Mus musculus: one gene and its partners. The protein of the gene in region 1 interacts with the protein of each later gene in a pairwise test. Links are inferred from orthologs where the notes say so. Each region holds a gene or a part of one and is shown on either strand. Other genes may lie near its edges.

The links.
Region 2: the proteins of Cep70 (region 1) and Pimreg interact in binary tests that used the Homo sapiens proteins (3 or more experiments, as listed by UniProt). The two-hybrid records come from large-scale screens. The link is inferred for Mus musculus from reciprocal best matches to the Homo sapiens genes CEP70 and PIMREG.
Region 3: the proteins of Cep70 (region 1) and Rhpn1 interact in binary tests that used the Homo sapiens proteins (3 or more experiments, as listed by UniProt). The two-hybrid records come from large-scale screens. The link is inferred for Mus musculus from reciprocal best matches to the Homo sapiens genes CEP70 and RHPN1.
Region 4: the proteins of Cep70 (region 1) and Kat7 interact in a two-hybrid assay, tested with the Homo sapiens proteins (2 studies listed by BioGRID and IntAct). The two-hybrid records come from large-scale screens. The link is inferred for Mus musculus from reciprocal best matches to the Homo sapiens genes CEP70 and KAT7.
Region 5: the proteins of Cep70 (region 1) and Gcc1 interact in binary tests that used the Homo sapiens proteins (3 or more experiments, as listed by UniProt). The two-hybrid records come from large-scale screens. The link is inferred for Mus musculus from reciprocal best matches to the Homo sapiens genes CEP70 and GCC1.
Region 6: the proteins of Cep70 (region 1) and Taf1d interact in binary tests that used the Homo sapiens proteins (3 or more experiments, as listed by UniProt). The link is inferred for Mus musculus from reciprocal best matches to the Homo sapiens genes CEP70 and TAF1D.
Region 7: the proteins of Cep70 (region 1) and Psma1 interact in binary tests that used the Homo sapiens proteins (3 or more experiments, as listed by UniProt). The two-hybrid records come from large-scale screens. The link is inferred for Mus musculus from reciprocal best matches to the Homo sapiens genes CEP70 and PSMA1.

The regions. Positions count from the first base shown.
Region 1 is NC_000075.6:99,297,965-99,300,944, forward strand, and holds the end of Cep70 (centrosomal protein of 70 kDa), read left to right. Parts: exon of another isoform or gene 1-538; coding exon 539-618; intron 619-1,042; exon of another isoform or gene 1,043-1,763; coding exon 1,764-1,825; 3' UTR 1,826-2,440; downstream 2,441-2,980.
Region 2 is NC_000077.6:72,041,025-72,045,417, forward strand, and holds the start of Pimreg (protein PIMREG), read left to right. Parts: upstream 1-1,477; 5' UTR 1,478-1,510; intron 1,511-1,992; 5' UTR 1,993-2,025; coding exon 2,026-2,313; intron 2,314-3,956; coding exon 3,957-4,234; intron 4,235-4,393. UniProt on the Homo sapiens protein: During mitosis, may play a role in the control of metaphase-to-anaphase transition.
Region 3 is NC_000081.6:75,702,739-75,707,182, forward strand, and holds the start of Rhpn1 (rhophilin-1), read left to right. Parts: upstream 1-1,549; 5' UTR 1,550-1,655; coding exon 1,656-1,736; intron 1,737-4,444. UniProt on the Homo sapiens protein: Has no enzymatic activity. May serve as a target for Rho, and interact with some cytoskeletal component upon Rho binding or relay a Rho signal to other molecules.
Region 4 is NC_000077.6:95,296,730-95,300,427, forward strand, and holds part of Kat7 (histone acetyltransferase KAT7), read right to left. Parts: intron 3,490-3,698; coding exon 3,250-3,489; intron 1-3,249. UniProt on the Homo sapiens protein: Catalytic subunit of histone acetyltransferase HBO1 complexes, which specifically mediate acetylation of histone H3 at 'Lys-14' (H3K14ac), thereby regulating various processes, such as gene transcription, protein ubiquitination, immune regulation, stem cell pluripotent and self-renewal maintenance and embryonic development.
Region 5 is NC_000072.6:28,418,743-28,423,235, reverse strand, and holds the start of Gcc1 (GRIP and coiled-coil domain-containing protein 1), read left to right. Parts: upstream 1-1,511; 5' UTR 1,512-1,919; coding exon 1,920-2,951; intron 2,952-3,935; coding exon 3,936-4,493. UniProt on the Homo sapiens protein: Probably involved in maintaining Golgi structure.
Region 6 is NC_000075.6:15,304,757-15,309,132, forward strand, and holds the start of Taf1d (TATA box-binding protein-associated factor RNA polymerase I subunit D), read left to right. Parts: upstream 1-1,457; 5' UTR 1,458-1,527; exon of another isoform or gene 1,528-1,692; intron 1,693-2,113; exon of another isoform or gene 2,114-2,234; intron 2,235-2,971; 5' UTR 2,972-2,997; coding exon 2,998-3,065; intron 3,066-3,768; coding exon 3,769-4,159; intron 4,160-4,376. UniProt on the Homo sapiens protein: Component of the transcription factor SL1/TIF-IB complex, which is involved in the assembly of the PIC (preinitiation complex) during RNA polymerase I-dependent transcription.
Region 7 is NC_000073.6:114,265,972-114,269,669, forward strand, and holds part of Psma1 (proteasome subunit alpha type-1), read right to left. Parts: intron 1,230-3,698; coding exon 1,150-1,229; intron 574-1,149; coding exon 463-573; intron 1-462. UniProt on the Homo sapiens protein: Component of the 20S core proteasome complex involved in the proteolytic degradation of most intracellular proteins. This complex plays numerous essential roles within the cell by associating with different regulatory particles.

The DNA of each region.
Region 1 (2,980 bases):
GAAATTAAAATCTTTATAACCAATTCTTGAGTTGGATTATAACATATAATTTATTTCTAGGACACTACCAAAACTAATAATTACTAGTCATATTTTTTTGTTTAGAAGATAAATATTAAGGATTTTTAAAAGACTATGTACCACCAATGTAAAAACCTGATGTTTTAAAAAGTACATTATGAGAATGTGTTTGTGTGTGTATGTGTGTGTATGTATTGTGTTTATATATATGCATATATGTATATGCATATATGTATATGCATATACATATATGCATATATATAAACATATAAGACATATATGTATATATAAACACACACACATGTATCATCTATATATTCTGCATATTTTCCAGTAAGAACCCTTATATAATCTGGCAGTTGAGTTTTTCATACCGTCTCTCAGGCCTCTCCGCTCCTTCCATTGTTTTACTGACCACTGGTACCTTCTGTTCAGTTGAATATTGGGTAAAGAAGCCTATTTCTAGCAGATGTTCTAAAGGTGGTGCTTTTTTGTAAACTGTGTATGTTTTAAACAGTATTATCAAGAAATTGGAAGAGCATGAGGAATTTTTCCCAGCGTTTCAAGCTTTTGCTAATGATCTTCTTGAAATCTTAGGTGAGATGTCTGTTGATGGTGGCTGACTCTTTCTTGGAAGGTGTTGGTGGATTTGAAGGGGTATTCCTTAGAAATTAGGTTCATGTCTTACTCTAGGTGTTTGGAAAGTAATAACTACTTTGCAGGAAGACTTGGTTAGGATTAATTTACAGAATAGAAAAACAGCCTATAAAGAAATAAAAACTATCTTTTTCTTTTCTTTTTAAATATTTTTATATGTGTATAGATATTTGCCTGCATGTATGTATGGAGGCCAGAAGAGATGGTCTGATACTCTGAAACTAGAGTTATAGTCAGTTAGCTACTGTTGGTGCTGGGAACTGGCCCCAGGTCCTCTTATAAGAGCAGCAGGTGCTTCTAACTGCTGAGTCATCTCTTCAGCCCTCTGGGACTATCTTGAGAAATGGCATTATTTTGTGAGACTCTGGGTTCTATCATTGTTTATTAAAACATGACCAAGCAAAATAAGCTAGAAAAATGTAGAGCCTGCTGCTTGGAACCTTCCAAGGGATGGTGTCTGGCTAAGGGAAAGTACTTGCTTCCTCTGAGAACAAGAGCTTTAGAGAGTGAATTCTGGCTCAGGGTCACTGAAGTCTGATACCTTAGGAGAAAAATCAATCTCCGAAAGAACCGGAACTGCTGTGTCCGGAAGTTCATACAGGATAGGCTGTGTCCCTGAGGCTTGTTCTAAGGTGTCCCACACCTCTTACTGGACAAATCTCCCCAAAGAAGGCTGAGAACACTCTGAGACTAGAAGAATCAGGAAGGAGCACTGTCTGTGAGACCTGCAAAAGAGATGCATGTCTTCAATGTCTAATGGGACTCATGTTGGCTTGCCCATGTAGCTGTACAGAGATTTAAAGAGAGACAAAGGCATCATAAACACAGCCAACTGGATGTGTTACTAAGCCTGTGTCTGGTAAGATTAATGCCAGTCAATGGGGGCGCTGCAGATTCCCTGTGAATCCCCTGTGGGAGGCAGTGGTAGTCTGCAGCCAACCTGGGAGAGAACCCTGTGCACAACTGAGCACGCAGCTACTGCTGCCCTTGTGTGTGAAGGCGGCTTCTGCGGAGAGCGTCTCACATCTCTGAGCTTTGCACTGGAAACATCGCTCCCTTTCTAATTCCTCCTTTTCCTGTTACAGAGATTGATGACCTGGATGCCATCGTACCTGCAGTAAAGAAATTAAAGATCCTTTCATACTGAAAACAAACCAGGTCAACTTCACTGTGTAAACTGCATTCGTAACATTCTAAGCATTTGTAAAGGTCTGATCCTGAGACAAGGCTGTACACAATCAGCTCTCAGAATTCATCCTCTCACCCCGGGTCTGCTCAACCCATATAATTTTTATTTTTGATTATTTAATAAAATGTAGCTGTTAAGTTATTAAAATAGTGAGTTAACTTTAGATTCCTTAATCGTTTCCTAAGCAATGCTTGAGTGCTGTAAAATGTAAGGAAGAGATTGTGGGTAACAAAAGAGACATTGCAAAGTACAGAAAGTCGCAGTTAACTTCAAGGTTTAATGACCCTTTGGTCAGAGAAAAAAGAATGCCAGTTGCTTTCTAAGCCCAACGGATAGGAAGCCTCTGTTCTCCAGGCAAGGATTAGTGGGCATATTCTATAAGAAAACTTACAGCTATTGCCCTGTCAAAGCAAGAAGGAAAGGTTTTGTCTTTGTATTAAGATAGGAAGTTAGTCATGGAGTGAAATAGATGATTAGGTAGAAGTGTTTCTGTGTCTTTATTTGCAATACTATGTAATGTACTTTTATAAAGAAATAAGATCACAAATAAAGTTTTCGTAAAGAGTTTCCAAACGTAAGTGTCCCTAGTGACTTATTTGTATGGCTAACAATAAAGAGTCGTCTTCTCCCCCTAGGCTGACTCCCTTGGGCGTTATCCTCCCTGCACGTCACTGAAGAGGCCTGTTCTTACTGCTGTCTACTGGATCTCTAGTCTCAGTATTCAGTCTGATGGCGGGGGCAGTGTCCTGCATCACACCCATGACTACAAGCTACTTTAGGCTACCCCATATGCTTCTTTTTAAAATGCCACTCTTACTGGTTGATATATAGATTATTTTAAGTATTTCCAGGAGGCCAGCATAGTGGTATGGCGAGTGCCAGTGAACAGGGATTCAGACTCCTAGGAGTTGTGACTTGGACAACATAAAATAATATCTTAGGTTCCTTCTTACTTTATAGTCCTTTGCTTTGTCACCCTGTAGTTAAATTTCTAAATAGTAACCCAGTGGTTTTCGACCTTCCTAACGCTGTGACCCTTTAGTTCACTTCCTCATGCTGTGGTGAACCCAACCATGAAATTGTTTTCATTGCTATTTCACAACTGTAATCTTG
Region 2 (4,393 bases), on another chromosome or scaffold:
CTTGGCTCTGTTGGCTTTATGCAGCCAGCAGGAGGTGACAGGACCCAGAAGAGTGCTGGCTTCAGGAGTCAAGGGAGAGACCCCAGCTGGAAAAGGGTGGGGTCTGAGGAGCAACAGTGAGGGGGTCAACCCTGGTCACACAGACAACGTCCCTGCATGCATGGCCTTTGGGTCCTTCACCCTGCTACAGTTAGTGAGTGAAGTGTACGGCCAGTCTCTCCACACCCCAGCTACCTCACAGAGCTGCAGAGCACTGGGGATAAACTGGGCTTGCTGATAGAAAGGGAGTGTTTGCAAGTGCTACACACAAATCAACCATTATTATTATAGGGGGTTGGGAGGTAAACACTGAGGTCAGGAGAGGGTCAGACAATCCTGACACCAGGAAGAGGCCTGAAGAGTCTCTAGGAGTCTCACTCCAGGCTGAGGAAAGGAGAGAGGAGGGAGAAGAGAAATTCTTTTTTGAGGACCGATAAGAAGGCCCCATTGTGGTGGCACGCCAGGCCCCTTGATTTCAATCTTGGGGAGGCTGAGTGTGGCCAGTTAGAACCAACCACCTCTAACTCCAGCTCCAGAGGGTCTGACTTCCTCTTCTGTGTCGCCACCACGCCACCCCACAGGCATTTACATGCACAGAGACATATAATTAAAAATAAAAATATTTTTTTTAAAAAAAGTCAAAACCATAAAAATGAAAGCATGGGAGAAAGTGACCCAGCCTGGGTTGCTGTTGTTTGTCGTCGTCGTCTTTGTTTCTTGTTTTGTTTTTTTAGCTTGCTGGCAGACTACAGGAAAGAAAGATTGAAAGATGCGTAGAGCAAGACCCGGCAGAGGAACTGACCTAACTGTGGAGAGGGTGATCTACAGTCTGTCCCCTCCTCTGAGATGTGCTTTCTTGGGCGCCGCCAGCAGGGTGTTTGTTTGAGGAACAGACAGGGGCAGGGCCATCTCGCAGGAAGGAAGAGAATTACGCGGGGAATTTGAAACAAAACTTCCCAGGGATCGCAAAGCTCGGCAGTCCCAGCCTATCGCTTTGACAAAACTACTTATCGTGGGAGAGAAGTTAGGCGGGGTGAAGGACTGAAAGGGGCGCGTGCCCTGGGTGGCGGTGACCTGAACCCCCGCAGCATCCTGCACCCTGACCTGCATGCTTGAAGAAGAGAGCTTGGGAGAACGATGGACTAGGCGCGGTCGCCTGGGACCAAGCAGCCGGGATGTAGGGAGGCGGGCTGGTCGGTAACAGTGATCCGGTGGCGACCTGGACCCCTCTGCGGCGAGCCAGGTGGGGGGTCTACGAACGATGTATGGGCGTGGCCAGGCCAATCCCAAAGCAGGATTTACAGTCACGAGAGAAAAAGACCAATCGAAATCCGGGGCGGCGGTGGTGGATGGCTGATAGGGCCAATGGGCTGCAAGCGCCGGGGCGGGGCGGGGCCGCGCGGAGTTTCAAATCGGCTGCGGTGGGCTAGGAGAGGGTGTTGATCTTCGGGTCCGGGTATCGAGCAGGGAGGTGAGCATGCGGGGTTACCGAGGGGCTTAAGGAGGGGGGTGGGGGACGGTCTCACGGGGAGCTCTGAATGGGGAACGGGTCAGGAGCTCTGGATAGGACCCACAAGACAAAGGGAATGTCTAGGAGTTGCAAACGCCCCATCGGATCCGAGGCCTTGGCTGGATTGCTAAATCTGCTCCGGAGAGGAAAATTTGTGAAAACAGCATACTGCTGGTGCCCTGCGTAAGCGCCGAGGCTCCGTGACCTGTGTGCCACTCCACTTAGCCTATGGGGAATAGGCTAGGATGGAAAGACGGACAAATTGCCGCCTTGCAACGGAGGCAGCTGCTGACCATGATGCCATTGGTCATCTTTCTGGCATCCACAATTGCCCAACAGGCCTACCCCGCGAGGTTCCACTTCATCTCTTTCCCAGTTCCCAAGGTCCCTGGAGCCTTGGAATGGGGTCAGGGAGTACTTTGATGACCTTTTGACCTCCCCAGGATCTAGCGGGCAGCGGAAACTGGACCAAGCACATGGCGTCTCAGTGGCAGGGCATGAGGACCTCTGTGCGCAGACGATCACTCCTAAAGGAGGAACAGCTAGAGAAGAAGGAGGTGACCCGGTCTGCTGGGGGTCATCCGGAGACCGGTCCCTTGGGCTCCCTGTGCAGACAATTCCAAAGGAGGCTGCCTCTGAGAGCGGTCAGCCTGAACCTCGGTAACGGCCCCTCCTGGAAACGCCTGGAAAGTCCAGAGCCAGAGCAGCAAGGTCTTCAGGCTGCAGCTCGCTCAGCCAAAAGCGCCTTGGGTGCCATGTCCCAGGTAACAATGACACCACCAGCCGTCTGTTTACAGAAGCGTCCTTGGTGTTGACTGTCCCTATCCTCAGGGAGACCCCAGGAATATAGACTCCATGGGGTCTTGGGGTTTGATTAGGTTCTTGCCATTTTCCCAGAACCCCGGTCATTCTGGCACATAATAGTTTCCCAACAAATCAGTAGGTGAATAAAGTCATGGAAGAAATTGGTGTTCCCCATGCAAGGTGACCTGCCATGTCCTGTGATAGAAAATTGCAGGAAATGGCTATCTATAAAGAGATACCAGTCTCAAGCTTAGTGGATAAAGACTTCCTAGAATAGGTGACTCTTCCAAGATCACTCAGGAAAGGGGAGGTGTATGTAGGCACAGGGCCAGTGGGATGCTGTGAGTGAGTCCAGCGTGGATGCTGAAGAGAAGAGTCCCCAGTGTGAAGCTAAGCAGTCAGTATAGTGAGAGAGGTGATCCTGTGTGCTGACCCCCATTTAAAGTCTCCCAGTCACACTCTTACACCTTAGCTGTCAACTATTTGGTAGAAAAAGGCAGAGGAGCGGGGCTTGCAGAAAGGGTGCAACTTCCTGAGCGGTTCAGAAGGCAGATTTGAGGGGTGGTGTTTGTGTGTGGTGTGTCCAAGAGCCTTCGAGCAGATATCTTCTTTTAATGTTTTAATATTTATCTATGGGAGGAGCGCTTATGCAGTGGTACTTGTCTGGAGGTCAGAGAAGGAATAAGGTCTCCCTCCACCGTGTGGGTTCTGGAGATCACACGAGTTGCCTGGTTTGGTGGCAAGAAGATGTACCTGTTACGATATCATGTTGACCCCACCTAGGTCTTTAAACCTGGAGCTGGAGATGTGGGCAGGTGTCCCCTGGACAGGACAGAAGCTATGAGAATGAGCAGACCTCTAAGAAGAGAAGGGGGAATGGCCCCTGGCATCTTGCTGGCATTCTGATGGTGTAGGGAGAGAGCAGAGGCCTCTGACGACTCCACAGAGAGGTCTCCTTGCCAAAGTCTAGCTCTGACTTGGAAGAGCCCTAAGATTGCTTTCAACATCGCTATAGCTCAGAACAATGAAATGTGACAGTTTGTCTAAGGTCACCCAACTCATGAAAACTTATCTCGGGCCTTGCTCCAACTTCTGGGTTCTGGTTTGCCAAGGCAAAGACAATCTAGCAAGGCTGTTTGACCCAGCCACATGTTGAAGATCCAAGGGTTGGGACTCAGCCCTGTAGATTATTGGGAGCCATGGAAGGGCTCAGAGCAATTAAGTGTTATGAGCAGACCTGTCATTGAAGTATGTTAGACTGAGATGGAGGAGGGAAGAGAAAGAATAGGACTAAGGTAGGATCCAGAGCTGGCATCCAGAAAACTGAGCCTCCCTCACTCTCTGAGTTAGTCTCTGCCTGGGGGCTCAGATGTAGAGTGGTCTTGCTGCTACCTGCTGAGTTACCACACTGGATCTCAGGAAGGTCTTGGAGGAGAGTACCATCTCATGGGGAGTCATGCTGTTGCTCTTGGCTTACTGTTGCTGCTGCTTAGTAACAGCAGACTGTGTTTGTGGGGCCAGCCCTGGGCTGGAAGAATGGCTAGAGCCTGGTAGCCCACCTTGGTCCTATCTGTGCCAACCTTCTCACATGAACCCATCACAGAGGATCCAGGAGTCCTGTCAGAGTGGCACCAAGTGGCTGATGGAGACACAGGTGAAAGTGAGAAGGAAGCGAGGAGCCCAGAAAGACAGAGGGTCACCACCACCCAGTCTGAGCCAGAAGAACACTCGGCTATGCAGGGCCAACCGGGATGCTAGAGTCGGGGGACATCTTCGCCTCTCTGGCCAGATGGGTCCGCATGCCCATCGCCGTCAGCGGCTAAGGAGGGAGTCTGCCCTCCGGAGCCCCTGTTCCTCCACAGAACCTCTCTGCTCTCCCAGGCAAGTAGTCGTCTGAGCCCAGGAGGACCTCCCCTTCTGTCCCACGAGTCTCCTCAGTCACCTGGGACGAGAATGCCCTGATCTGTCACATCCTAGTTCTGGCCCAGGTCTGCCCCAAAGCTGGTGAGGACCTGAGGGGGAAAAAAAATCTCTGAGCCT
Region 3 (4,444 bases), on another chromosome or scaffold:
GAGGGCTGGAGAGGTGGTCCAGTGGTTAAGGATGTGGACCAGTCTAACGCAAGGCCAAAGTTAGGTTTCCAGCTCCTACATTCAATAGTTCACAACTACCTGTAGTCTCTTGTTCCTGGGGTTCAAGTACCCTTTTCTGGACTCTGCAGGCACAGTGCTCATCTGCAGAAACACACACACACACACACATTAAAATAAATCTTTAAGAGAAACAGTTGCTTTAGTCAGGCATGCTTTGCTGGGTGGATGTCAGTCTAAGCACACAGGATTCTGAAGACACAGAAGTCTGAATTCAGGGGTGCCTATGCAGGAGGGTGACAGCTGTGCTAGGTGACAGCACATGTGGTCTCTGTTTAGTTCTAAGGTGATGACCACACCTAGGCAGCATAAGAGCCCGGAGATGGAGGAGGCTGCTCATGAGGATGTCAGTGGAGGAAGAAGTGAAATTAGGTGACACTCCACAGGAAGATACTAGAGGAAAGAAAAGGAAAGAAAGGAGGGGAGGGGAGGGGAGGGGAGGGGAGGGGAGGGGAGGGGAGGGGAGGGGAGGGGAGGGGAGGGGAGGGGAGGGGAGGGGAGGGGAGGGGACAATGCTGCCCTGGGATCAAAAATGCCAGGAAGTTTGGAGAGGCTAGCGGGGCAGATGAGAGAAGCATTTCTGGCGGGGGCCCACTGTCCAGGGACATCCAAGAGCTTAGCCGAGCAAATTTAGATCTGGGGATGACAGAGCCAGGTGTGTGTGAGGGGGATGGGGCGTAGAGACTGAGTCGCTGACTCAGTCAGGGCAAGCAGTGACCAGGGTGGCGGGCAGCGTGGAGGAGGCTGACCTTTGGAGCAGCTTGACAAAGGGCTAGCCACTCATTTCTAGGCTGTGTTCTCAGCTCATCTAGTGTGAGCCAGCCCACATGAATTTGAGAAGTGCTTCGGAGTAAGCCCTGCAAGGAGCTCGAGTTCTGGAAAAAGTCCAATTCTTAAAACCAATTCGGGTTCTGGAAGGCGATCCGGTTCTGGAAGCACAAGGAGGTCAAGGAGAATGTAGGCTCTGGAAACAAAATGCATAACCAGGTCCCGGAGGCGAGGTTTCTGGGGGCGGTTCTGGAAGCAAGGGGACCGCAGCGGCGCTTTGCCTCTTAGTGCCGGGAAGAAAGCAGGCATTGTTTTAGAATCAGCACAAGCACTTGTCTCTAACAAACCGTTTAAAAAACCCCATTGTAAACATTTTTGGAGCAATCCTGGAGGGTCCCGTTGCCGGGGTGACGAGATAAAGCCTTGAAGTCCCTGCAGAGGCTGCAGCGGCTCTTGGTCGCCGCCCCCAGTTCTGCTTGTCTTTTCCTAACTTTCTCCGCACGCCTAACACCTAGCGTTGCGCATGCGTACCCTGATCGGCGAGCGGCCCTGGTTGCTAAGAGTTACCAGATCCCTTACCTGGAGCCCGCCTTTCTCTCACTCTGGTTGGTAGTAGTTTCTATCCATCGGAGTAGCCCTCACCTCTGATTGGACAACATCAAGTTTTGCAGGCGGGGCCCGCGCTCTGCCGCACCGGTCAGTCGGACCCTCCAGGAGGGGGACAGTCGGAGCAGCGCGGCTGATCCTCCCTGGAGCGCGAGGGGCCTGCTGCTCGCAGCCTCTCGGAGTCAGCGTCCGAGCGAGCAGCGATGATCCTTGAGGAGAGGCCAGATGGCCAGGGCACTGGCGAGGAAAGCTCTCGGCCGCAGGACGACGGCAGCATCCGCAAGGTGGGGGCTGAGCAGGGATATGGGTCTTCAGCCTCCTGCCCCGCGCTGTGCAGTGCGGCCTTCCCGGCCTTTCCTTCCTGGGACCCGCTCCCCTGAATGCCAGGTGGGGATACTGAGGTCCCAAGGAGAGACCAGAGCCGGTGTTCCAGCCCGATGGGAGTAACACTGGAGCAGTCACGGTCTAGATGGTTCCCCTGAAGCTAGAGAACCCCTTGGGTCTCAGAACCAAGAAGTTGGTTCTGATGGGTGACAACCCCCACTCCCTCACCTCCACAAGCAAGCACGTGTTTTTTTCTGACGTCTAGAAAGCCTCCTTCTCTAACAGTGTCTTCTGCGTGCCCCGCTGTAGGAGTCAGTGTCCATTAGTGGTTAGATTGTGACAGCAGACAGCAAAAACCTTCGGAACTTCACGGGGAAGCCTGACTACTTTTCCCCAACATACATCCCCTCCAAAGCTCCTGAGTCTGGAGATGAGGGTGCCTGGGCTTCCAGGAACACAGGGGTGAAGTGGAAACTAGTTTGCTCTTTGCCTAAGGGATATTATGTTAACCTTCTCTGCTTCTCCGGTCTGGGTATTTCCTAGGGGTCAGTGAGTGTTTGGGTTTCTTAGTATGTGTGTAGGCTCTGGGGTACTCCTGCCCATCCCCAGGGGCTGCTAAGCAGAAGCTGCTGTCACAACACTCCCGGGTGTTCCCATGGCTCTTTGCCCACCTTCCTTCCTGGTGTCAGATTGTACTTTGTTGCTGGCTGATTCTATCCAGTGTGTGTGTGTGTGTGTGTGTGTATCAGGTCTCCTGGAGGAGAGGGAGGAGAGGGAGAGGAAGAGGAAGAGAGGAAGGCACTGGGACTTGGACAGAACCCTCAAGGGCTCCATCCTAACCAGGCATGCCTGATACCACAGTGACTAGCTCAAACTGGGGAGGGGTTAGATTGGAGAGAGGGAAGGAGGGAGGGAGGGAGACGGAGTCAGCCTGCAACATGTTCTCCAGGAACTCTTCTTCCTAGGGTGGCCATGCCTTTCAGGTGCCCTGTGGAGGAAGTGCATGTTGCATTGGTCAGCCTCCCTGTGGATAGTGTGGGACTCCCCCACCCTGAGCTGACTCAGTAAGAGAAGCCTGGGAAGGCTTAGGATTGCTCTGTTCCTTCTTTCTATTCCCAGGCCTGTGTGGGGATAACTGTGTCCCCCCGCCCCCCACCTTTTGCTAATCCTTGAGGACCAGCCCAGTACAGGTCACTGGGTCTTTGAGTGGGAGGTTTTGTTTCTCTGACCCCCATGCCTTTCCTCCCTGGTCGTGGCCAGGCCCTGTTCTGGTTTGGCCACTGCTGCTGCGATGTCTGTACTGATGGCAAGTTCTCCCAGAGTTAGACAAGAGTAGCCACCATGGAGGTCAGCCATGGTTAGACGGCCTTTGTTTCCAGAGGGTGGGGAGATCATACCGGGATAGAGAGAGATGGTTACTTAGCACCTGTGCCCTCCCTGCTGAGCACTTCCTTCAGCCCAGTGTGGAAAACTGGGTGTGGGCTATCAGCTTCCAGAATCCATCCAGCCCAGCTTATCTTGCCTTTCCACCAAAACAGGTTAGGAAGCTGGCTTGGCCTCCATAAGTGAACCAAGGTTAAAAAGGGCAAGAACAGGCCCAGGGTCTGGGGCTGGTGAAACCTCAGAGTGGCTAGCTGCTGCAGCTCCCTAGCAGGTGGGGGAGGGACTGAGGCTATCGGCCATAAATAAGCTTAGAACCTTGTAGTAGGGTCTTGGGGAAAAGATGTGTGCCGTTTTCTTAGTAGCTTTGAAGACAGGAGACTGTTGTGGCCTCAAGTTTCCCTCCTGCACAGGCAGGGGTGGGTCCTGAGAAGGAGACAGTACAATGTGGCTCCACTCTATCCCTATGCTATCTTGTGCCAGCTATCCAGAAAGCGAGTCACCTATCTGTAGTCACCCAAGGATGACTTAATGGCCTCCTTCTTTCAGAGTGAGCCCAGGTGCCACTTCTGTGGGCGCTCTTCAGTGACATGAAAGCTGGCTTCATGGTAACCCTGGGGCCACAGTCTAAGTGATTGCCTCCAGGAGCTCCATCCATGCCAAGGCGAAAGCGTCGCTTTAACCCATGCAAGATGCTGAGGCTGTCCTTTGCATGACAGTAAGCCACACTTTGAATGCATGGCCAGGATCAGCTCTGCCAGGATTTACACACACACACACACACACACACACACACACACACACACCCCACTCTGTGTCACTTGGACTAGAGCCTTTCAGTTTCTGTGACCTCCTCCCTCATATGTGATCACTAGTGAGGGTGTTCCCCAGGGAAAAGAGCCATCAGCAAAATCTTTACCACGAAGTCTTAAACCGGCGGGTTAACCTGGGCAGGGCAAAAATGCTGCGCTGCGTGGCTTGGAGGACCTCAGGCTTTGTGCAGCACCACCAATTCCCCACGCCTTGGCAGCTCTGGGAGGAAGCCCTGTAGGCCGTGGCCGAGCCTGTAGTTGGAGAGAGGGGACATCACAGATGACGCAGGCCACTGATCTCACATTACCCAGGAGGAGCTCTCATCTGACTGGAGCTGCCAAAGGGACACTGGAACCCAATGCCTTGTTCACTGTGTCACAGACCGGGTACCCAGTTCCTGAGCAGCACCGTCTCATGGCCCATCACTGCACGGCTCTCAGTGCCTGTGACCACACTACTTCAAAAGCCTTGTGGG
Region 4 (3,698 bases), on another chromosome or scaffold:
CTTCCCTCCTGAGACAGGGTTTCACTACACAGACTTGGCTGTCCTGGAACTCACTCTGTAGACCATGCTGGCAGCTGTCTGCCTCTGCCTCCCAAGTGCTGCAATTAAAGGCATGTTCTACCACCGCCCGGCTACAGGTCCTATCATCATTGTCATTATTTCTGAGTATTACTGTTGTTTTTATTGTCATTACTAATATGTGTATGCTAAAGAGGACATTTGGAAATTGATTCTTGCCTTCTACCTTTTTGTTTGTTTGCAATTTATTAAAATTTATTATAAAGAATCTGCACGCAAAACAAAACAAAACCCATACCAGGACTAACCAGACATGTCAAATGAATTTCTGAACAGTTAGAATAACTAACCAACCTGAAGCTGTGGGACTTCACAATGAGTTTTACACTTTCACTATCAGATATATACACAAATCTTCAGACAAACAAACAAAAAACCCCACACTTAAAACTGGAAAATTAGCTTTGTACTTCTTTCATGGCTTAAGTGTCCATTACTTGCATTCCGTTCTTCACATAGTATTTACCCTTTCTTGCTCTCCTTTCTACACGTCATTTTGTGCCCATATGTACATCTGACTACATGTGCAGTGTGTGTATAAGATCTGCAGATGGAGGGAACATGTTCTGTTCTGTTTTTCTTTTGCCTCCCACCTTGCTGAGACAGGATCTCTCTCGTTTCGGGTGCTGTGTAGCAGTGCTCCTGGCTCTGCTGGCTTCCAACAATAAGTCTATCTCTGCCTATTTCAGGGTAGTGGGAACTTTACAGATACACTTATAAGGGTTCCATTATCAGGCTTGCTTGTAAGGCTAGCACTTTTACCCACAGAGCTGGCTTCTTAGCCCCTTAAGCAGTATCCACCTATCTATCTATCCATTCATCCAATCTATCTATTTATCTATTGATCGATCTATCTATCTATATCTATCTACCAATCGAATGATCGCCCTGGTCTTACTATGTATGTAGCACTGGCTGTCCTGGACCTCAAGTCTGGCAACATGAGCTTGATCCCTACAACCCACATAAAAGGTGAAGGAAAGAATCAATTCAAAAAGCGTGTCCTCCACACGCATGCTGTAACAAGGGCACCCATCCCACATACGTAATAAACACATGTAAACCTTACAAATACAGAAAACTGGCCGGGCAGTGGTGGCGCACACCTTTAATCCCAGCACTCGGGAGGCAGAGGCAGGCGAATTTCTGAGTTCAAGGCCAGCCTGGTCTACAAAGTGAGTTCCAGGACAGCCAGGACTGCACAGAGAGACCCTGTCTCGGAAAGAGAGAAAGAGAAAGAGAGAGAGAGAGAGAGAGAGAGAGAGAGAGAAAGAAAGTAATTAAGTTAGTTAGTTCTATGAATATGAGGCCAGCTTGGACTACACAGTGACTATCAGGCCAGTCAGAGCCACATAGCAAGAACCTATCAAAAAAAAAAAAAGATAAAAAGAAACATTTTAACTTTTGAGACCCACATACTTAGAGTCACATCTTGCCTAATGCCCAGCAAACAGTGGATCTCTAAACATAAAACTAGGAGAGCAGGCAAGTAAGGGCCCCAGAAGTCTGCGGGGCTGAAGCTCCCCCTAGCGATAGGTTTGTGGTGTTGCAGTTGCTATGTGCAAGCACAATTCATGTATTTGTGGTCACACTGATACAAACAAACCTACTATGCTGACTATATAAAAATGCAGCACATACCATTCTACACAGCAATAATGACTGACAATATAAGCAGCCATGTTAATTGGTTTAGGGCATTTGTTCTATTTTTCATTGTTTTTCTATTTACATGGAGACAGGCTCACTAGACAGTCCAGACTGGCCTTGAACTCCAACTCCTTCTACATAGACCTAAGTGTGAAAATTAATGGCACTTGCCACCACGCCCTGCTCAAAATTACTTCAAATCCTTCTATTTAACAATAAAGTTCAGAGTAAAGTAGCATCCAAGTTACACAAGCAACTGTCACATACATTGAGTTTACCAAATCTCTAAAAGCACCCTGTTCTCTTGTTCCTGACTTATCTCAGTTTGCTTTGCTCACCGGGGTGTAGGAGCAATAGGCTGTCATATACAAACACACCCCCAACAGCCCAAGTGTATAGAAGGCTATATCATCTCTGTTTGTCATGTACATGCGCTCTCTCTTTTTTTAAAAAAGATTTATTTATTTATTATATGTAAATACACTGTAGCTGTCTTCAGACACACCAGAAGAGGGCGTCAGATCTCATTATGAGTGGTTGTAAGCCACCATGTGGTTGCTGGGATTTGAACTCTGGACCGTCAGTGCTCTTACCCATTGAGCCATCTCCCCAGCCCAGTACATGCTCTCAAAATATGTCCTTACTATTAAGCAACAGGAGGCCATTTCTTAGAGAAAACTGTTGGGTGGGACCACACACAGAGTAGAGAGTGCCGTCACCGCTGTGGAAGCCTGCTCTCAGAGACTGCATGCCTTACAAACTCAAGGCTATGGCTGTTTAACAAGTCTACTGGCACCAATTTCCCAACTGCTCCTACATTAGCATCTTTAACAAAACATTTTTAAAAGAATTTACCTTTAAAAAGTACACAATGCTACTGGCATACTTTATAAGTATAAAGAAAAGTTTTATATGCACTAGGAAACAAAAAAATTCATATTCAAAGGCATCTTTAGGTCTGGTCTCATGCAAACTCTCCTGATTTACAGCCTCTTAAGAACTCTGTTCTTGCTGGGCGTGGTGGCGCACGCCTTTAATCCCAGCACTTGGGAGGCAGAGGCAGGTGGATTTCTGAGTTCGAGGCCAGCCTGGTCTACAAAGTGAGTGCCAGGACAGCCAGGGCTACACAGAGAAACCCTGTCTTGAAAAACCAAAAACAAACAAAAAAAACAACTCTGTTTTCCTTGTCTCCTGAACAGCAGTGGCCTCGAAGCCATTATCAGGCATTATCTTATACTCTATCAGTACCTATAAGCACCAACCACCCGCCATAGGACGAGGCATTCCAGAGAGAACTTGTTTTCCAGTTTTGTTCCTGCTTAGGAAAGGAGGGAATTTTTCACTGGGAAAAACATGTTGAAAAAAGTGAGTGGTTCATCACTGTTACATTTCCTGCAACCAGATCTGTTAATATTTACAGACAATAGGCCAAGAACAGCTCTTGTTCACGATTGCTCTGAGTTCACAACCCCACAACAGGATCCCCAGGCCACAACGGTCATGAAGCTGGGGCACACTCACCTAGAGAGTTGCAGCCCGGCGTAGGACACTTCATGTTGAAATTGTAGCTTTCGTGAAATCGACGTCGCTTGGGACGGTGAGAGAGATCACTGCCTGAGTCCTTCAGGGACATGTCCTTGGCAATGCTCTCATCATGAGACACGTTGGGGCTGGAGATGTCTATGTCAGACTCAGAAGAAGGTGCATTTCCGGTTGGAGTTCGAGGTGGTGACTCATCATGATCAGCTGTATTTTTAGTTTCTAAAGAAAAAGCAATTGGTAGAACTGGTGAGTGGGTCCCTCTATTTAAAGACTGGCTAGGCAAGAAGAGTTGGTGGGCTTTGCAGTTCTCTTCCTAGTGTCATGAGCCCAAACTCTCTATATAGCTAGGAATGACCCTGAATACATGACCATCCTGCCTCTCCTGTCCTAGTGCTGAGTTTACAGGCATGTACACCATGCCGAGCTTT
Region 5 (4,493 bases), on another chromosome or scaffold:
AGCCTAGTCTCGAACTCACGGAGATGTGACGGCTGCCTTGGCATCTTGAGTAGATTTTTATTACAGAAATATTTTCTTAAAACCCGTTGTCACTCTTATTTCATCTCTTTCCCTCCCCGCACCCCTCTCACAGGCTTGGTATCTTCATAATGTCACAGGAATCTTATTTTGTTTCTAGCTCCTCCCCACCCTTTTTTTTTTTTTTTTTTCGAGACAGGGTTTCTCTGTATAGCCCTGGTTGTCCTGGAATTCACTTTGTAGACCCGGCTCGCCTCGAACTCAGAAATCCACCTGCCTCTGCCTCCCAAGTGCTGGGATTAAAGGCGTGCGCCACCACGCCTGGCTCCCTCCCCACTTTTATTTCGTGTTCATGTGTGGAGGTGTAGCTCTCAGAGGACAACCTGTGGGAATATGTTCTCTCTTTCCACCGTGTGGGCCCTGGTGATAGAACTCAGGTCAGATCATTGGGCCTGGGTGGAAAGTGCCTTTACTGCTGAGTCGTCTTACAGTCCCCACAAGAGTCTTGATGGAAAAGAAAAAGGAGACTTGATGGTGTGCTCTTGAGATGAAAATCTTTTCATGTCTTGTCACCTAAGGTAAAATCTAAATGCCTTTAAGTTGGGTCCTTTGTTCCAGCCTCATCAGTAGCCACCCTTCTCCCACACCATAAGCTTCCTGGGCAAGTTAGGCTCACTGATGCCTGACGTCCCTATACACCTTTCCACTTTCCTCCATGCTGGTTTCCCACATCTGCATTGAGCTTGGCAGTCTACTCATCTCTCAAACTTCAAATCATTTCCCCTAAGAGTCTCTGTCCTGGCAGGTGCCTCATCTCCTTTATACCACTTCTGCAATGCCCCGACACACTAGTGTGAAGGCAGGAGCTACCTGTTTGAATCTCTGTGTCCTTGCTGTTAGGAGTTTCTTGGGACAAGGCCATGCTTCTTCAGTAGTGCTATCTGGCATAGCATGTAGTATGTTGAGAGGCAGACTGAGATAGGACTCCTAAACTTCCTAGCTGAGTGACATTGGACATGTTACCCCTCTGTACATTTTACTCTATGTTCCCGTAAGTGTAACTCTTGTGACACAGCCCTGACCCCAGCATATGCTGGTATGCAAGATGGGCCTTATGGCTATATAATGCCCCTTTTACTAATCAGAACTAAGGGAGGGAGCTATTATGCTTTACGTTAACCAGGTACCGGCCTCGTTTTCCTAGTATGAGTCCTAACTGTTGCCCCAAATGTTGGACATTGCCCCAAATAGTTTGATGCGTCTTTCATCTATGTTTTTGGGGCAAATGCAGTGCGACGTCGCCCCCTGTCGCTCACTGGTGGTAGCTTGAGGGCAAAGTTAGGCATCTCCAAACCACTGCTCAGGTGCTTGCTCTAGACTTACCTACGGGTTACTCCCTCTCCAGGCCACCAGCAGACACGGTGCGGAAGCCCCACCCATCTCACGCCCACGGCGGGGCGGGGTCTGTGGCGTTTTGCTGCCGTCACTTCCAGGAGACCCGGAAGCGGTGCTGTTCCAGTTGTTGGGAAATCGTGATGGAACCCGGCTTAGTGTAAACCCTGGGCTTATCGTGGGCGGAGGGAGGCGGGTCTAGGTTGCGGTGGCCACAGGAGCGGCTAGGGCGGGACAGGCTCAGGGCCTGTACTGGAGAGCCTAGGCTGACTGCTCCTGCTAGGTCAGCGTCACTCCGCCTCCAGGTTGGAACTGGCTCCCACCTTCGGCCTGGCTCCTGCAGTGCTTTTGCCTGGCCACCGCGGCCCCTCATCCCGCCCGGACCGCTGGACGGACCGGGTGTATTGCCTGCAGCCAGACGGTTCTCTCTGCTTCACTTTTAGCTGTCCCTGTGGCTCTGCCCAGGGCTGCAAGAACGTTGACGTGGAGCGGTCCACGCCAGAACCCCCATGGAGAAGTTTGGGATGAATTTCGGGGGCGGCCCAAGTAAGAAGGATCTCTTGGAGACCATCGAGACACAGAAAAAGCAGCTTCTCCAGTACCAGGCAAGACTCAAGGATGTGGTGCGTGCCTATAAAAGCCTGCTGAAGGAGAAAGAAGCCCTGGAGGCCAGCATCAAGGTACTGTCGGTATCCCACGAGGCGGATGTAGGCCTCTCAGGTGTGCAGCCTCCAGGTCTCACGTTTCCTGATTCTGTGGATGACCGGTGCTCCACTCACAGTGAGGACAGCACCGGAACTGCCACTAGCTTGGATACCGCAGCCAGTCTTACAAGTGTCAAGGGTGAATTTGGGGTTGAAGATGACAGAGCGGCCCGTGGACCACTTCCCCCAAAGTCTGAAGAGGCCAGTGGGTCAGAGAGTGGCGTTAGTAGTAGCAGTGGGGATGGGCCATCTGCCGGTAGTGAGATGGACAAAAGAGTGCATCAGCTGAAGACTCAGTTGGCCACTTTGACTAGCTCCTTGGCGACAGTCACTCAGGAAAAGTCCCGTATGGAGGCGTCTTACCTGGCGGATAAGAAGAAGATGAAGCAGGACTTAGAGGATGCCAATAAAAAGGCAGAGGAAGAGCGGGGTCGCCTGGAGGGAGACTTGAAGGTGCTGCAAGAGCAGATAGCAGAAACCAAAGCCCGCCTCATTACACAGCAGCACGATCGTGCCCAGGAGCAGAGTGACCATGCCTTGATGCTGCGCGAGCTTCAGAAGCTCTTGCAGGAGGAGAGGACCCAGCGCCAGGACCTGGAACTTCGCTTAGAAGAGACCAGAGAAGCCTTGGCAGGGCGGGCATATGCCGCTGATCAGGTCGAAGGGTTTGAACTGCAGACCAAGCAGCTGACCCGAGAGGTAGAGGAGCTGAAAGGTGAGCTGCAAACCATTCGAGATGAGAAGAACCGACCAGACCCCCGGCTGCAGGAGCTTCAGCAAGAGGCTGCCCGTCTTAAAAGCCATTTCCAGGCCCAATTGCAGCAAGAAATGAGGAAGGTAATTATTCTCATATCCTTCAAATAGTCATTTTAGCTTACATAGGAAATTATTATTTTTCTCTTCTGGTCATTAGATAACTGTAATGCATCCCTATGTGTGTGTGTGTGTGTGTGTGTGTGTGTGTTTGTTTCTCTGTGTGTGTTTTCATGAGGCAGGGTCTTACCATGTAACCCAGTCTGCCCTTGAACTCACAGGGATTTGCCTGCTTTTCCATACCAAGTGCTAGGATTAAGGGCACCCCTCTCCCCACTTAAGGCAGGGTCTTGTTTTAGTCAAGGGATGCCTGGTGAGATAGCGTGAGTTGTTAGTGTGAGTACTGGGACTTTGGTCTGGTTCCACATTCCCAACATGCATAGTGATATTTGATGCCAAGTGAAAAAATTGCATCAGTGAGTCCCGTGAAGTGTGGCTTTGTGTGGTGTCCTTCTAACAGGATGAAGAGTTCCTGAGTATTTCTGGGTTCAAGCCAGATAGCTCTATCTAGGCCTTGGGTGTTGGCATCTTACCAGCTGTGCTGCTTGAGGTGATACAGTGACAGCTGTGTAGGGAAAGCTTGTGTGTATCCTGAGAAGTGTGTGCTTCTAGGTAAGGTGACTGGAGGAAGCAAAGGGGATTTTCCCCAGAAGAAATGCCTTGTGTATACGCTCAGGTGAGGTTTGCCTCAACTGTTTTATAGTGTTCCCTTTCAGTAGAGAGAGGGATCTAGGTTGGGTTTGAATTTACAGGCATGTTGGGAAAGGGAAAGAATGTTACACGGTTTCTTTAAATGATTTGGCTAACAGAAACATACTTTGTATTCAAGCTTAATGAAGAATGGAAAACTATGGTAGAAAGGGCACTTCAGTTAAAAATCCCCAGTTCCCACTTGTTCTGGGTTATTCCAAGCCCTGTTCACTTCTCTGTCTCCTCCCCCACACCCAGTTGACTCTAGGGGTTTTGTGACTTTCCTGGATGCCTTGTCACCTGTTCTTTGCTTTGCAGACAGCCCTTGCAGAGGACCAGCTCCGCCAGCAGTCTCAGGTAGAAGAGCAGAGAGTAGCAGCCCTGGAGAGCCAGATCTCTGAGGTATCTGAACTGCTGGGCACCTACGAGAAAGCCAAGCAGAAAGACCAGCTGGCCATCCAGAAGCTGAAGGAGCGACTTCTGCAGCTGGACCTGGAGAACAAGACACTGGCCCTCGCAGCCTCTAGCCGGTCCTCCCTTGACATCCATGGCGACGAATCCAGTCTGGATATCAATGTCTTGAAGGACAAGATGGAGAAGCTCAAGAAGCTACTACAGGTTGCAGCTAGGAAAAGCCAGGTGACCCTGGATGTGGAGAAGCTCTGCGACCCTGAGATAATGGCCAACTCCGAGGCTGCTGACGGGGAAAAGGCTACCGCGCTCTACTACCAACAGGAGCTGAAGCAGCTGAAGGAAGAGTTTGAGCGGTATAAGATGCGAGCCCAAGTTGTGCTCAAAAGCAAGAACACCAAAGATGGGAGCCTGGGGAAGGAGCTGGAGGCAGCACAGGAGCAGCTCGCAGAGCTGAAGGACAAG
Region 6 (4,376 bases), about 84 Mb from region 1:
AACGGTGACAATCATGCTGAGTGTCATGATTAAGGCCATCCTGTATTCAGAAATTGTCAGGCCCTTTAAAGTCCCTCAAAATTCTCAAATCCATGACAGACATATTGTACTTCTTACTGTACAGAAAAGGAAACAAAATTTATTCAAGATCATTCAGTTGTTACATGGCAGAAACAGGATTCAAAAGCAGGTTCAAGCCAGGCATGGTGGTGCACATGTTTAGCTCCAGCACTGGAGGCAGAGGGCTGTAAAGGCAAGAGGTTCTCTGTGAGGTTAAAGCCAGCCTGGTTTACAAATCAAGTTCCAGGATCGTCAGGGCTACATAAAGAGACATGTGTCAAACAACAGCAGCAACAACAACAAACTCAAAGGCAGGTCTGTAAATCCAGAATGCACCCCACCCTAAGCTGAATCAGCAGTGAAGAAATGGCCCCTTTGGCTGACACCAGGAAGACTTCAGAATAATCCTGCAGCACCAGGAGAAGTGCCCATCTTCCACCTAGAGGGGACTTCTCTCTTCCAAATATATTGCACACAATATATTGCTAATTATTAGGTACTTATGATATACCACACTTTTACGATATACTAGACTAGTAGGGTTCAAGCACAAGGCTGGCTTTACAGCTTTGCAAATAGTTCATTCAGTCACATAGGACCCTATATTCATACTGATCTAACCACACACACAGGTCTTTGTTTGCTTTTTTTGTTTTTATTTTTTTTTCTCCGTGGTGCCATGTACACTAGGCAAGCTCTCTATAATCCAGTTATATCTCTAGGCCAACAACTTTACATTTGAAATGTGTTTGTCTATGAGAACTCAAGGGATAGTAATATCTGCCCTCTCACCACAGATCTTGTCACGCACTCAATAAGGTGTTTGTAATGTTCCCTTACAACTTAGTCCTAGTGGACCTGCATGGGTGCAAAGCCAGAGTCAATGCTGCAGGATTCCACAGACTGTTGGACAGTGTGTGCAGGGGTCAAAAAGTAGAAGGTGCCGGGCGTGGTGGCGCACGCCTTTAATCCCAGCACTCGGGAGGCAGAGGCAGGTGGATTTCTGAGTTCGAGGCCAGCCGGGTCTACAAAGTGCCTTCCAGGACAGCCAGGGCTACACAGAGAAGCCCTGTCTCGAAAACCAAAAAAAAAAAAAAAAAAAAGTAGGAGGCAAGTGAGGACACAGGGACAGTACAGAAATCCATAACACATGCCACCCTTAGTCTGACAGAGAGCTTGGCACACTGCGGGCTCAGTCACCACAACAAATCGACGCTCACCTGGCCCGCAGTGTCCTCCCACTTGCAGGAAGGCCTTCTTTCCACTCAGGTTCGAACACAGGTTTAGTCTCCTGCCAGTCTTTTCTGATAGCTCTAGGCCAAGGGAGAGCCGGGGTACCGCCCCTCCCGGAGGCCCGCCCACCACACGCACAGCCACGCCCACCAACGTGTACTCACGCGAGATTTCGTCCTTGTCCTAGTCCGGCTGCTGGGCGCCGGGAGCGCTCTTTTCGACGCGGCGGAAGAGGTAAGCGGTTGTTCACTGTGGCCGCTCAGGTCTGCTGCGGGCGACGGGGCCGCAGGGCGGGGTTCTTTGGGCTGCGGTCCGCGCGGAAACGGCGCTCTTGTAGGGCCAGAGCAGCGGGCCGGAATCCCGCCATCCGCAGGCCGCACGAGGCTCCGGGTCGCTGTTGGGAGAGGCCGAGGTGTTCTGGGCCTGGAGGGCGTTTTTAGTGCCGTGTAAGGGGTCGCGTGCTGCCTGCGCACATCTCTTAGGTTACGTTCCGAAAGGGTCTTGCAGCGGGCCCACGGCGCATAGTCGACGCAGCTCACCACGTGGCCTCCAAAGCTTGTAGTCTCGGAACTGTAAAGTAGCGTACAGGTGGGAGTGATTCCTAGGAATTATCTTTGATTTACTCACAGGCATATCGTTGGGGCGACCGGGTCAACCTTAAATTTCAGTTTTGGTGGGTTAATTTAAAAAAGCAATTCATGTAGCGGGCATTTTGCAATCTAAGGTCGTAGTCACCCTGTTTTTCTTATCCTCGAAAGTTGTGATTATTTTTAGTTCTAGGATTTTGTGTAGCCTAGGAAAACTGTAGTCTTTTCTCCTTTAGTACATATGGCCGTTTTGCCTGCCTAATATTTCTACACCACGTGCACGCAGTGCTCACAGAGCCCAGAAGAGGACATCGAATCTCTTAGGACTGCTTACAGCTATTTTTAGGCTGGCATGTGAGTTCTGGGAGTCTCATCTTAGTCCATTGACAGTATTCTATTCATTTCTTTTTTGGGGGGGGAGGTTTCGAGACAGGGTTTCTCTTTATAGCCCTGGCTGTCCAGGAACTCACTTTTTAGACCAGGCTGGCCTCGAACTCAGAAATCCTGCCTCTGCCTCCCGAGTGCTGGGATTAAAGGCGTGCGCCACCACGCCCGGCCATTGACAGTATACTTAACTGCTAGGCTATCGTCTCAGCCATAATCTAAAGGTTCTTTTACACGTTGTTAGGATTACAGGCCTGTGACCATTTGATCAGTAGTGATTTTTGAGCCACTATCGCCATATCCCAACTACCCGAACTCTGTTTCAGTGTCGAGTTCGCAGCCCAGATTGGAATTAGAAATGCTACTGTGAGGCTAGGTGGTGGTTAAAGCCATGTCGGGTTTTGGGGGTAGATTTAGTGAGAAAACAAACTGCATTGGAATGTGGCTTCTTGTTTTCACTCACATATTTAAAGAAAACTATGCCATATGTGTGAGGGTACTCTGGAAGACAAAAGATCACTAACAGGGAGCTGGAGTTAACAGGAGATTGTGAGCAACCCGATGTGGATACTGGAAACAAGCCCACTCAGAGGCTTTAAAGTAGATATAAAATGTACTATCCATAGGGATTTTACAGAAATTCACACAGTGGGAAGGAGTATGCTGAACTTAGACTGCTGGTACATCATTGAAATCTGTGATTGCAGAAAATTGGGAAAGGCCGCGAAAAGTGATGGCTCAATCAGAAGTGAATTCTGTCTGTGTGGCATCGGATAGAGCTGGAGATACTGGAGACCAAAGGTAAGGTAGCTTTTGTGGGTAAACTAGAGATTCAGTCCAAATGTTCAATTTATTTTTGAGACATCTCAGTAGATAGAGCCATGGCTGCCCTCACCCAGGTAATCCTGCCCATCTACCTCTCAAGAGTTGGGATTAAAGGCATGTTACCACACCCTGCACTCCAGCAAGTTATTTGTAATGCTTGTACTTAAAATAGATAGAGAGAACCTCAATTAGCATTTATATTAGCTTGACAGTTTGATTAAAACTGTATAATTCTACCAACCTGAACATGTAGGAATGGAACATAGTTTATTTTTTCCAAGAAAACTACATTTGGGGGGCTAGTTCTGGTTTTATTGGCCCATTTTTGTTTAGTAGGTAGATAGTGGAAGCTTTAGTGATTAAGTGGTGCTTTTGAAAGTTAAAACTGAACATTTTAACCAACTGTCTTGTTTTAGATATAATAGTAAGTACTAGTGGTTAACTGGTACTGAATCTATTCTAAAATGCTGGGTATGATTTTAGGGGGTTGATCTTTGAAGAAATGCACTTTGAAATTTTAACATGGTTTTTAGGTTTGTCATGCTTTTGTCTGGTGTTCTAAGGGCAGTAAAGGCTGTTGGAGCTGTGAACTGAAGGAATGCATGATTGGGAGCATGGCCTTGAAACTCGGGGAGGATTATAGCTAATGATAACTGATGCAGTTTCATTTTTGTTTTAGTGATGACTCCTCTGATGGCAGCTTATTTAAAACTCAGTGTGCTCCTTCACCTATACAAAAGCAAAGACACCCTACTGTGAAACGTGTTACTTTACCTGCAAGTGTTGAAACAGATTCATCAAGTGACTCTTCTATAGAACCAAGGCCTCTGACTTTAAAGGCTATTTTTGAAAGATTTAAAAAAAAGAAACGGAAAAAGAGGAAAAAGAGAAAATATGAGCCAAAATTAAGACCAAGAGGAAGACCAAGAGGAAAACCATCGGGAACGAGGATCACTAGAAGGTCGCAAATAGATGCAAAACAAATTAAAGACAAAGGAGCTGTGTTTCCATTCTTAGAATCTGAGAGTGGAAGAAAACCTTTACCTTGGAAGAAAATTTTAACATATGAGGTGAGTTTTTTTTTTAAATGTAGGTGAATACATTAGGTAAGATTGAATGGTTTGTTGGCCATTCTTAATTGTTTGAGGGACACCTGAAACAGATTGTTACTTTTAACAATAGTGACATCCATATAAAGTGCTCCAATTTTCATCTCTTGCATCACTAGAGAAATGTGCACAAGCATATTTATCAGTGTGCACACAGATTTATGGAGTTGTACTCCAG
Region 7 (3,698 bases), on another chromosome or scaffold:
GACCGAAGCCTAGTCATTCTAGCAGTCTGCGGCCTCACAGCCTTCTACCTGGGTCACTGAGATTGCTAGTGAGTGGGTAGGTAAGGAATGAAGTCGTCTTGGTTGCTCTGCCCCTGCTTCAGTCAGATGGCAGCATTTGTGAGGTCCCAAGTAAGAGCAGCAGTCTACCATCCATGCCTCAGTCAACAACAGAACTCTAAGAAATGTGATCTAAATCTGTAAATTCTGGGGTGACCTTAGTTATGCAGTGATAGAGAACCAAACCCTTCTTCCTCTTTGTGTTTCTGGAGATCACTACTATAAAAATATTTTACTTGAGTCAGTGCTTTCTTAATTGTTATTTCAATTATGGACCTACCTCAATAATGAAAGACAAAAGCCAGAATTTACATGGTTGTGATAGGAACAGCAGTTTACAGTAAAGCTGAAACCTCATGTTATGATGCGTAACATGGAACATACCTGTGCTTTTCTCTGTGGTCTTTCTTCAAGACCATCCAGGAATGGAGATACATCATCATCATCGTAGATTGTAAATTCCAAGTCTTTACCAACGATTCCAATGGAAACATTCTGATGGGGGTGGGGGGGAAATTAACATATGGATAATAAAACGCTGGGCACAAAGTAGAAAAAATTATATAGCAATTAAGTTCAAAGTTTTAAAACCTATAGGTAGGAGTGAAAAGAGGCAGGAAACCATGGCTCTTTCAATTACAGATCCAATATTCACTGTCGGTTATTATGAGAAATCTCAAAGGTCCATGTCATTAGTAATGAAGTCTCCCCTCAACCAGTGGTTTTCATCTTCCTAATACTTTAATACAGCTCCTCACGCTGTTGTGACCCCCAACCAGGAAATTATTTTCATTGCTTCTTCATAACTGCACTTCTGAGACTGTTAGGAATCTAATGTAAATATCTGATAAAGGTACGAATACCTACTGTAGACAAAACAAAATAAAAACTGCAGACATTTTATTGCTGTATAACCTCCCACCCCAATTTAAACATGACATTTCAAAACCAGAGAATTTGGTGACTAGAAAGGAAATAACGAACAAAGCAATTAAAATGACTTAAGGACATGCTGTTTTATCCCTTGTGACTGAGGATTAAACTATACCTACAATTGGGACCTTGAGTTACCTTTGTGGTCAGGTCCTGCTCTGCAGGGAGTGTTTCTCTTAAGGCACGCAGACCATGTTTAACCAGTTCATCCAAATTGCCTGTATGCAATAAATTACAAAATAATTTCTTAATTTCACCATCATAATAAGGCTTCTTTTAATTATCAAGTCTGTAGTCTTTAATTGTGGCTTGAATGACATATTATATAGAATAAAACAGCCAAAAGTGTAATGTTAGCATCTAATCTAATCTAATATCAACCAACATCAATGACTACTTGATGCTTTTTAGTAATAAATATGATCTGTCTTTCACTAGATTAAATAAAAGTCCTGGTCACAAATGACATTTCAATTTTATAGAATGTGTTTTGTAGAATTCAGGTTTTTATATTCATAAATAATGAGCCTTCAATTCTTTGTGGTCAGTATTACCTGATATCAAAGTCATTACAGACAATTACAGACCAATCTTCCCTATGAATAAAGACACCCAAATAAGTGGTGCATATCTATTACCTTAGCACTTGGGAGGGTATGGGGCTGGGGTGGAGATTATGAGTAGTTTGAGCTACATAGAGAATTCTAGGTCAATCCCAATTACACAATGGGACCTCATCTTAACCAAAATAAAATTACTACCACCATTTCTACCACCACCACCAGAACCCAACAACAAAGGAGAAAAGATTATACATAATAACCAACTGTATTTTTTCTCAGGAATGTAGACATGGTTAACATTTGAAAAGCCAACTGATGTAACACAATACATTAATAGACTAAGAGGAAAAAAGGTACGACCATTTGAGTCAGCTATAACAAGCACGTGATAAACTCCCAACTCCTACCTAATAAAAACACTTACTCATCTCACAGCTCACATCATACCTAAGAGAATGACTGAACGCTTTCCCTCAGTCTCAGGAATAAAATAAGGACAAATGCCCTCATCACTTCCACTCATCACTATACTGACAGTTCTAGCCAAGGCATTCAATAAAAACAAAATGCACCTATCTGGGAAGCAAGAAAGAAACAGCACACATTAAGACTAGGAAGTAAGTAAAACCACCTCTACTGCAAATGATGTGACCTAGTGATATAATCTCAGATCTAAGGAATCCACTAGATTGGAATTAATGAAGTGTTCTTAGGGTTTCAAGACATGCAATCAATATGTAAATATCAAGTTCTTATAAGCAATCTGCAAATGATATTGAGAAAACGCTTAAAACAATATGAAAAGAATAAAGTATGAATAAGTTAAACAAAAGAAACACAAGACTTATAAAGTAAAAATTACAAAATACCACTGAAAGACTTAAGTAAATGTAACAAAAGTCTATGTCCAGATGTTGCCTAACTTACAATGGGAGTACCCACAGTAAATGGCCAATGTTAAGTAAAATGTGCATACAACACACCTTGCCTACCAAATGTTGCAGCGTAGCGTATGTGACTGTGTGGCTGGCTTAGGCTCATGACTCACTGCTGCTGCCCTGCATTAGATAGAGGATCTTAACGAAGTGGCTAACCCAGGAGGAGATAAAAATCTAAATTCAGGACTTCATTTCCTTTGCAGTGCATGTTGTTTTTGCATATTATAAAGTCAAGACATCCTGAGCTAAGCCATCATAAGGCAGTGTCATCTATATTACAACACTGAACTATTCCCTAAGTACCCGCCAGGTTGGAACGACTCTCTAGCAAAGCTCCTTAGACAGAAGCATCACTCAGCTGCCCTGACACTCAGGAGAAGGGTAGGAGCACAGGGAAGCCTGCAGGTTCCTGTTTCCTTCTGTGACCAAGCTAGGACCCTTATGCCACACACGTTAAGTCTTGGCTAGGATATGACAGCAAGCTGAGTTCTCAAAAATCTCCCAATATGTGGGTGATCTTGGGAACTCCTATTTCCTTCAAAAAATACTATACTGCCACAGGAAAATTTATGAAACCAAGACAAAAAAAATCTTGAGAAAAAAACCAAAACAAAACAAAAGCCCTGCTATTAACCCTTCTTCTAATGCAAAGCAAAGCGCTTGAAAACCACTTCATCATCTTACACCCTTCACCCTCTTTTCCCACAGTTATACTGCTTATGGGCCACTTAATGCAGAAATTCTATGTGTCCTAAAGTAGAAACAGACTTACAAACAATTAAGTTGTAAACAGAATTTACAAATAACAACTAGTATAATGGGTTTCAACCCTGACTGGGGCCTACTTCAGACTAAATGTCAAGACTTTTCAAGGTTGGAGACATATTTATTTTTGTTGTTGTTTTTGTTTTTTGTTTTTCGAGACAGGGTTTCTCTGTATAGCCCTGGCTGTCCTGGAACTCACTTTGTAGACGAGGCTGGCCTTGAACTCAGAAATCTGCCTGCCTCTGCCTCCCAAGTGCTGGGATTAAAGGTGTGCGCTACCACGCCCGGCAAACATATTTATATTTTGATAAAGTTCTCTTAGTAGCTAGAATTAAATAAAACAATAGACACTTTATGACCTTAAGATTTTTAAAAAACTAAAGACTATTAGTTTTCCTCACTTAGGGTAGATTTGCTAACT